2 linked regions of the Oryzias latipes genome follow. The protein of the gene in region 1 purifies or fractionates together with the protein of each later gene. This does not show direct contact. Links are inferred from orthologs where the notes say so. Each region holds a gene or a part of one and is shown on either strand. Other genes may lie near its edges. The genes, in order: map4k5 and crkl.

Region 1 (4,507 bases):
TTTTTAATATTCTCAAAATCAGCTCATCCAGTTTCTTCATTGACTTCATTACCACACATGAACCTGTTTGCATAAAAACTGGATGCATTGTGGTTTTAAAAACGTTTTCTATATATAAAAGTCTAAAGTCTGAGACTCTTCTGGAGGTTTCTAATCATGTCTGTTTCTCTGTCTTATATGGAGCCGTATAAATAGAAAAATGTGTTTTTTTACACTAACCTGCTGTGTGATAAACTAAATGATATTTTTTTGGCACCAAACTCTTTAGCTTTAAAAAATATTTTATGATTTTTTTAACTTATAGAAGTGAACCTATGCAGACAGCTGAACTCACATTATGAAGCTTTTCCCATCAAATGCCAGTTTGAATGTTTCTGAATGTACATTTTATAAAGAAACTTCTGATTTTTATGCAAAAACGTTTCTTTAGTTCATCAAAACAGCGTCAGCTCTGAAAAAAACCCCAACTATCCTCCCTGCTGCTCTTATTTTGAAGGGGACTTCAGTAGGTTCACACATTTCTGCTTCCTTTAAAATCCTTAGAAACCGCCCCGCCCCCCTTAGGTGATGTTTACCTTAGCTCTGATGTCATTACAGCCTCTTTGAAAACAACTTTAGGGAAGCTGTTTCCCCTCTGAGGACCCCCCCCCACACACACACCATAACAATGAGACAGGGTTTTTCAAGTTAAAAGCTTTTAATTACAAAACATTTGCAGGGATGTTAATAAAAACCGAGCATCGTCCCTCATTTTATCATTTCATTTTAAATTAAAAAAATGTACAAAAGTGCTTAAATGGTGCAAAGAATTAAATGTTCTATAAAGGTAGGGGGCGGGGCATGTACAATAGATCCACGTTCGTAAAAAAGCAGCAGACAGGAGAAGCAAAATTACACGGCAGAAACATCCAGGACTCCCTCCGACCAAAGATGAGTTAATAAATATTGTTTAAATTACCCACAATGCTCTTGGGCAGCTCCGTGAGCTCATTAGTCGGGTTTTAAAATCTCCCCTGGAGTCTACGGACACGCTACGTGTTACAGGTGTTCTCCCGCCGTTCCGAACTCAATCCCAGACGGATTAATGGCACTTTTAAGGAAAACGTCTGCAGAGGTCGGTCACCTGCGCGGCGGAGAAGATGCCGAACCCTCCAGCGAGATGTGGTTCCCGCCGGCGCTCCTCTCCCATCCTGAAACAAAAGCTCCCAGTAACGCGTCAATAGCTTCGTACTCCACATGTGGGCTGGTCTCCCAAAGCTGGAGCTCCGGCGGTCCTCCACCGTGCGGAGCGGATCAGTAACTGTTCTCGTGTCCAGCTAAGATGTAGAGGTTGCTGTGGGCGGTGGGGTTGTCGGTCGGCCGGCTCTCCAAAACAACCACCCTGTGAACAAACAGGAGAGGGAGTCAGCGGTGAGGCTGTGACGGCACCAGAGGACCAAGAACCTCCGTCTGCAACGATTCTGCAGGTTACTATGACAACATGAAAGCTTCTCCATCACACAGATCAACCATCTCAGATGATTCGCTGAGAACGACGTTCAACTCCCCGTGGCTCTGTAACCAACTGTCCTGCAGACGCGCTAGACAGCTGCAGAGAAAATCAAGAGGAACGGTGGTGGAGGAGTCATGGTTCGGGCTTCCTGTGCAACTCAGTGGATTAACTGGACGACAACGGTCCGTCACAGGAAGGAAGTGGTGCTGCTGTGATGGACACGCGTGCCGTCAGGAGTAAAAATGAGGGCGTGGCTCTTTGACATGTGACCGTCCCATCCTGCCCTTAAACCGTCTTTTTAGCTTATTTGTACATTTACAACAAAGGATTCAAACGGCTGAAAACCAAACAGCCGGGTCATGTGACGTCCGGTCCATCTCACTGGTGGTTATGCGGGGGATGACTGAACGAGCGGGAAGAAAATCTGAGAGCGGGAAGGGGAGGGAAGTGTCCTAGCAGCGGGCGCCGGCGGTGGAGCGAGTCACCTTCACTTTCAGATGGAATCCGTCCCCGGGATGACGGGACGGCAGCAGAACCGCATCCTATCCGGTCCGTTCCATCAGATGAAATTTCAGAGTCGGGCAGAGAAACTCACACCCGGCTGGCGGCACCGGTGAATAAAACATGGCGGGCTCGGCGGCACGGAGACGGATCATTCTGGTGCCGGAGGCGGCACCAGAATGATGGGTCTTCACTGCAGCCGCCGTGAGCTGCTGGTCCAGCGTCCGGCCAACGCTGGATCCGTTCAATGGACTCAAACGTGAAAGAACTTCTGGAGCTTCTCCAGAAAACCATCCTGAAGTTTAGCGAAGGAGCTGAAGATGTGAAAAGACGAAACTGAAAGTTTGTTTTGTTCTTGAACGCGTCATCATGTTGAAAAAGCTAACGGGTCAAAAGGCAGACCGGAGAAACTACGTGATCCCCTTCATCCTCTCTGTGAAACTCGGTCCAAAACCCGGTTCTAGGGGGGGATTATTTTCTGTAGGAGAACTCTATGATCCCTGTGAGGATGTTCTGCTCATCACCTCTTCTGAGGCGTGATGGAAGCGGTTTTTACCTGATCCGCCATGACTGGATGCTGAGGGGGCGTGTCCTGTCAGAGTAACCATGCCAACAGGGATGTTTACTCAGACAAACAGAACCCGGTTCTGCTCGTCTGAACTTCTGCATGCAGTTTTTTTTGTTAATTCATTTTCCACTCTGGATCTTTCTCAGGGAAAACGCGGCAAACGTCGGCACCAACCTGTCGGATCCCAGGAGGCGGAAGACTCTGCTCGGGTCACAGATCTCCTGGGTCACCTGGAAAACAAACATCAGGGCGTTTAACCCACAATCCCAGAGCGGCGCCGTGGAGGACACCGGCGTGTTGAATTCTGAGCCGGTCTTTGGTTTCGGCGCTGGAGGAGCGGCTCGGGTTTTTTCAGGGCTGGGGGAGGATTTTGTTGCCGTGGAGAAGCCTGTAGCCGTGTAAAACATGAGGTCATGTCATGAACACTTGCTGACAGCTGGAGGGGGGGGTGACACCTGCGAGGTGTGAGCCCCCCGGGGAGATCTGATCACGCCTAAAGACAACAAGGTCTCAGGTGGAGCCTGACCCCCCCGGAGTCCTCGCTCTACGAGGAGAGCCGTGAACGAGGCGGGGGGGCTGAATTATTGATGGGGGGGGCTCTGCGACTGTGACGGGCTCATTTATGACAGAGCATGAATTTTACATGAGGGCTTCAAAATCCTCATCTGAGCTTTCGGGGCGGGGCGGGGGCTCTACCCAGATCAGGTCTCAGTCTTTTGGATCAGAAACAAACTGACAGTTTCTGCAGCTTCTCTGCAAATTACCTGAATGTAAAATCCTGAAAAACCAGAGAAGCGGTGAAGAACCGCCGTGCAGAAGAAGAAGGTCTCAAAGCCGTCTTACCTCGTTGGACCGGAAGCTCTTGCCCTGCATGCCGTGTTTCCAGAAGACCAAGACGCTGTCCTGCAGGCACACTGCAGAGGAAAGGGAGCCATGAAACGCTGGCGGAAACACTCAAAACCCACCATACTGTGTCCCACCGCCAACATCTGAAAGCCAGGAAAAGCTGAAACGTTGGCTTCAGGATCTCTGGCTTTCAGGAGCGACTGAAGGAAACCAGAAGGAAGATCAGAACCTGACAGCAGCCCGTCATGTGACCGGCTCTGACCATCAGAAAACGGCGTTTATGTAAAAATCCGAACCCCAGACAGAAGAAGACAACATGACGGTGGAGCAGTGAGGAGATGCAGGAGCTTCTTCATGGATGAGAGTCAGGAGACGACTTCTTTCCGCCAACAGCGCCCCCACATGAGCAGCTGATGGAACAGCAAGTCTTCCACATGTTCGGTTTGCTTCAGTCTTTGGTTCTTCTGGGAACGCCGTTGAAACCAAACGGCTGCTGACTCCATGAAAATGTCCCAGAGAAGAAGAGACTGGAGAGACCAGTTCTGCACATGTGGATCCAGATGTGGAGGTCACGACCTTCAACAAAGGCTTCCACATGGAGGTCAAACCTGCTCCTTCAGCAGCAGAAGATGAAGGTGAAGTCTTTTGTAAACAGAGGAACGTTTGCATTTTTCCAGCATGGAAAGAGGCTTTGGTTTTTATGCATGGATTCCAGACCAAGAACCGGTTTGTTCCAGTCCAGATCAGGCGTGCTCAGAGCTGCACGCATTCGAGCAAACACGGGTTTCTTTAAGGAGGATCCGACTGTGATGGACGGCGTGGACTCACCGACGGACTCGATGCTGAAGTTGAAGCTGAGTTCAGAGGCCAGCTTCTTGTTGGACTTCAGTCTCCCCTGAAGATTGACGATCTTCAAGTTTTCTGAAGAACGAAGGAGTGAAGGTGGTGAAGCCAAAACCCAACACTTTACTTTTAGAGCACTTTCTTGGCTAAAGTTAGGAAAGTCTGAAATCTTTACAACTTTTTTTAAAAGCTGTAAAATGCAACAAAAAAACACAACACAACACTGGCTTGATGCCTCAGGACCCCCCCCCTCATAA
Region 2 (4,591 bases), on another chromosome or scaffold:
ACCATTCTGCATGGAGGGCAACGGGGCAATGACTGCTCCGGGTGTGCCGGGGGGCATGGGGGGAGAGGTCTGGGGCTGGGCATAGGCGTTAACAAGGGAGTGGGATGGCTCCGGGATACCGTAGCTGTTGGAGTTGCGCGAGCCGTGGGAAGGCTGGCCAGGATGGGGGGAGGGTCGTACCAATTTCTCCACGTAGGGCACGGGGATCATCCCGACGCGTCCATCTTTATTTTTGGCACTCCACCATTGTTCCTCTGGCTTTTCCAAAATGATAAGGATCTCCCCTTTCTTGAATGGAAGGTCCTCCGCGTCACTACCAGTGAAGTCATATAGTGTCCGCACGTACTCAAAGTTATCCTCTGGACCAATCATAGACTGGACCGGACCACCAATAGTGCTTGGGTACCTGAAAAGATATGACCCAACTGAAATGTTTTGCGTAGAAGAGTGTATCAATGGTTCCTTGTTAACCCTTTAATAGACATGAAACAACACATGCTCTTCAAACTACTGTAACTCTTGGACCATTTACCCAAGTAACAAAATTCCAACAGATTCTACAGTTGAGAAAACTGGCTAAAAATGCACTGATGCTTGCACTATACATGCATCAGTTTGTAGTGAAGTGTGCAGATAATAAGTGCATTATTGTTATCTTTTCCATTAGTATGATCTCCTTTAGAGATTAAACGTTAGTTCTTGGTCACGTACTATGTTAAAAAGTGCGACTTAAACTCCAGTGTGACTAATAGATGATTTCCCCCCTTCCTTATGATGTATTGTTTAGCTGCTGCAACTTATAGTTCAGAACATATGTTAATTGCCTAAACGGTTGAAGAGTTACTGTAATTCAAGACCATCAACACAGCAGCTAAAGTTACGGTGTCAAAGGGTTAAGAAAGGTATCATCTGCATGAAGTGCACTAATGCCTTGGTGTGTAAGAGTGTGTAAAAACACTAGAATACACACGCAAATGTACTATACCCTACAGGGGTGTAACGATCAATTGCCTTAAATGATTTCCAGATCGATTTATCTGTTGTTAATAGAATTGATCTATACCATTATTAAATTATTTCAAAATGACCTTCAAATCGATACAGGAAAATACCATTTGGATTGTTTATTTTTCTATAACGTAAAAACGACCTTGAGAGAGGACAACAAACGTGATAGCGGCAAAATAAATAAATAAATAAAATAAAAAAAGATCAGTCCATCGTTCCAGTTCAATTTAAGGAACTACTATGAATTTAGCTAAGACGTCACCATTCAGTGTGGTAGAATGTTCTAAAAATGGCCTTTGTATTATTCTTATGTGGAAAAACAAAAGTGGGCTGAACTTTGTTAGACTAAAATACATTTGCCATTAATTGTTGTTTACTTGTTTGTTTGTTTGTACACATATTTAATTTACACCTGATTATCTTCCAAGAAAGACAGGGAATCTGGAAGATTTCACCTGCACTGTTGAGTATCCAAGTATTTATCTCTGAGTCGAACTGGTTGAAATTTTGGCGAAATATGTCATGGTGGATTGATTTCAGGTCAGTGGATGATCGGATCATTCAAAATGAATCAATATCGACTATGAATCGGGTTGGCAACTATGAATTATGATACAAATCGAACTGTTACACCCCCTAATGTCACACACAGTTGTGTACAGATCAGGCTAGTTATTCATGAACATCTTAGCTAATGTTAAAACAAACTCAACAGGAACTGTCCAATAACATGCTAATTCAACGACATATTTGCTGAGGAATAACAGAACAGAAAGTGGTCGTCTACCGGGATGCTGGAAGACGTCACGATCGTACCTGGATGCTGGTTCTATTAGCGTTGTTGTGTCCAGGTAATGGATTTTGTAGAACTCCAGAAGGGCTGGGAGGTTTTCGAACTCTTGATCTCCTATCTTGAACCTCTTACTGGGCAAAGAGTTGATGATATAGTGAGATACTTTGGAGTTTTCGGACACCGACAGCACGTAGTCCCCGGGACAGGTGGACGAGTCTCGCACCAGAAACATGCCGTGTCTCTGCCCCTGTAACCTGTTCTGCGCCTCCTGTCGCGACACTGGTCCGAAATACCAGGCCGAGCGATCAGACGAGTCAAATCGGGACGCGGACATTTTAAAAAAAATCTTTAAAAAATAAGTTAATATAAAGAAGAAAATGAGAACTATTGAATAAGTTAGATTCAAACGGGCCTATCGCATCCAGCTGCAGTACTTGGCAGATGCGGGGTAGGGCGTTCGTCGCCCGAGGACCCGATTAAAACAAATAAACAAAAGATCAACCTGACGTTTTCAGCGACAGGCTGCGACCGACCTGCTGATCCAGCCCGGGAGCATAATGTGACGAGCAGCTAACGGCCCCGAAACGGACGAACATCGACGGAAACTGAAGCAACAAATGATCAATAAAGCTTCCTCTCGTTGTTCCGCCTTCCGCGAAAACTCACAATTATTTAGCTTCAGTTCAGTCAGTGTCAGTTACGAGAACGGAAAGGGTGGCCTCAGGCGCGTTCCATCTCCATGTTTGCAACTAAAAACAAAAATTGTGACAGCGTAGAGAAAGAAAATACCGACTCTGTATCCTCTTGGTGTCACAAAAAGGCGGACGTCACGGAATTGGGGTGTTTAACTCCCCTTTCTCGGGTCGGAGTAGACTTTTGAGGGGGGGAAAAATGGCGGCTCGCAACACGTCTTCACACCAAAAAATGATATGACGGCCGCCGCGTGTCTGCTGCGCTCCAGTTCTCGCGTGCATTCCTCGAGTGCCCGCGAGAGATCCAGGCGTGCCGGTTCCGTGCGATATCCGTTCTCTAATTTCAGCGGGTCCCGCTTGTTTCAGCCAGCAGAAAGCGCAAGCAGGACACGGGAAAAATGGCGACGGGAGGGCTGGTCCCGCTTTCTATCTGCACGTCACGGAGGGGAGCAGGAGAGGAAGGGGTGGGGCCGTGGGCGGAGGAAAAGGTGGGCGAGTGATGACGTTTCTGGCGGGCCCACTTTGATGTGTCACTGTTGTCATTTCATGTCCCTTGCTTTTATTATTGTGAGTAAAAAAAAAGTGTGTTCATTAATTTGTTTCGGATGCCCTTGTCTATATATTCTGTAAAACTGTTCATTTTCAATAAAGTTTTCTTTTTTAATGTGCCGGTTTAAGTTTTCTTTTCTTTTTCTTCCTATTCCATTTTAGACCTGACAAAACACCAACCAAAAGATGTGCGGCCAAATTTTCAATGATCGCACGGCTAATAAACAAAAGGGAATCGTGTGAAGCAGGAGTTCCTCCATTTAACCACCATGAGCAGGGCCAGAGCTACAGGGGGGCAGAAGGGGGCAGTTGCCCCCAACCAATTTTTGAAACAGTATTATTATTTTCACAAAGATTAAGAAATCATTAATGCAAGCTTTGTTAGTAATGGCACCTCAGCAAAAAAAAAAAATGCAGTGTTGTTATTAATAACAATAATAAAACTATGAAACATGGTTAACCCTTTCATTTGTAATGGCCTTCCTCTCTGCTTATCACATTTGCCACCCAATTAAAGTCTACTGCCCCCCCATATGAAATGTTTTAAATCCACCACTGATCATAGACTAGGCTACTATTCTGAAGTAAATAAGAGAGAAAAAATAACTTAATAAAACCAAACTACTCAAATATTGTGTGAGAAATGTCACAGTATACCAGGGGTCTGCAACCTTTGGGCTGATTTTTCTCTGACGTAAACCTGGCAGGAGCTTCAGTAGAAAAGTACATCAGTGCTTTGTGTTTGTTACTGTTATTTTTATGCTAAATAGAAGTGAACCATTGTTTTTGTTGGTTTTAGCCTGAATTCATCCATCCATGCATTTCCTAAACCTGCTGAATCCCTTTCAGGTTCAGGGAGTTGCTGAATTTGTCAGAGATTTTAAAGCAAAAATTTTTAGCTACACTTTCAAAACTCCTTATATCTTAGTGCTTAGATATTTTTTATGGCTGATACCTCTGCAGATGTGTAGCTTTATAATAGACTGAGATATAGACTCGCTAAAATGAAAAAGCCCGTTTTCTCTGTTAAGTATCTCTAAAGGAGAAAAAAGCATGTTTCTCTTATTTCATTTCCTGATGTTTCTTAACTTCCCCTTTCACTCGATCTTAATGTATATATGGTCTGGAATTGGACGGTGACACACTAATAGTAAACTGCTACTTGACTCAATAAGAAATACAACGGAAGGGAAAAAAAAGAGTTTTTAAAATGCAAAAGGCTGTGCCACATAAAAATCCTCCCTGACAAAACACAATAGTGGATTCATTTGACAGGCAAAACTCTGCAGCAGGGCTGCTACTTCTGCTCTGTGATGAAAGTAAAACACACAAAGAGGTAGCTCTGTGCTTGTGGTTTCAGCGGCTATGCCTTGTGAGGCTACAGATCAAGACAGTGAACCTCTCATCAGAGCGCCACTGCCAGAATACAAACGCTGGTCTGACCAACCGATTCATGCCAGTTCCCAGATTTCAGGGAAAATAAGCAACGAGGCAACTAATCTGTCACGGCGAAGGCAAGAAAAACAACTTAGAAACTGGCTGGTATTTT

Evidence for each region.
Region 2: the proteins of map4k5 (region 1) and crkl purify together in Homo sapiens (affinity purification with western blotting; 3 studies listed by BioGRID and IntAct, with this or other methods). This does not show direct contact. The link is inferred for Oryzias latipes from reciprocal best matches to the Homo sapiens genes MAP4K5 and CRKL.

What each region holds. Positions count from the first base shown.
Region 1 is NC_019880.2:1,340,303-1,344,809, reverse strand, and holds the end of map4k5 (mitogen-activated protein kinase kinase kinase kinase 5), read right to left. Parts: intron 4,329-4,507; coding exon 4,236-4,328; intron 3,476-4,235; coding exon 3,405-3,475; intron 2,792-3,404; coding exon 2,736-2,791; intron 1,382-2,735; coding exon 1,294-1,381; 3' UTR 674-1,293; downstream 1-673. UniProt on the Homo sapiens protein: May play a role in the response to environmental stress. Appears to act upstream of the JUN N-terminal pathway.
Region 2 is NC_019870.2:17,501,196-17,505,786, reverse strand, and holds the start of crkl (crk-like protein), read right to left. Parts: upstream 2,934-4,591; 5' UTR 2,136-2,933; coding exon 1,825-2,135; intron 407-1,824; coding exon 1-406. UniProt on the Homo sapiens protein: May mediate the transduction of intracellular signals.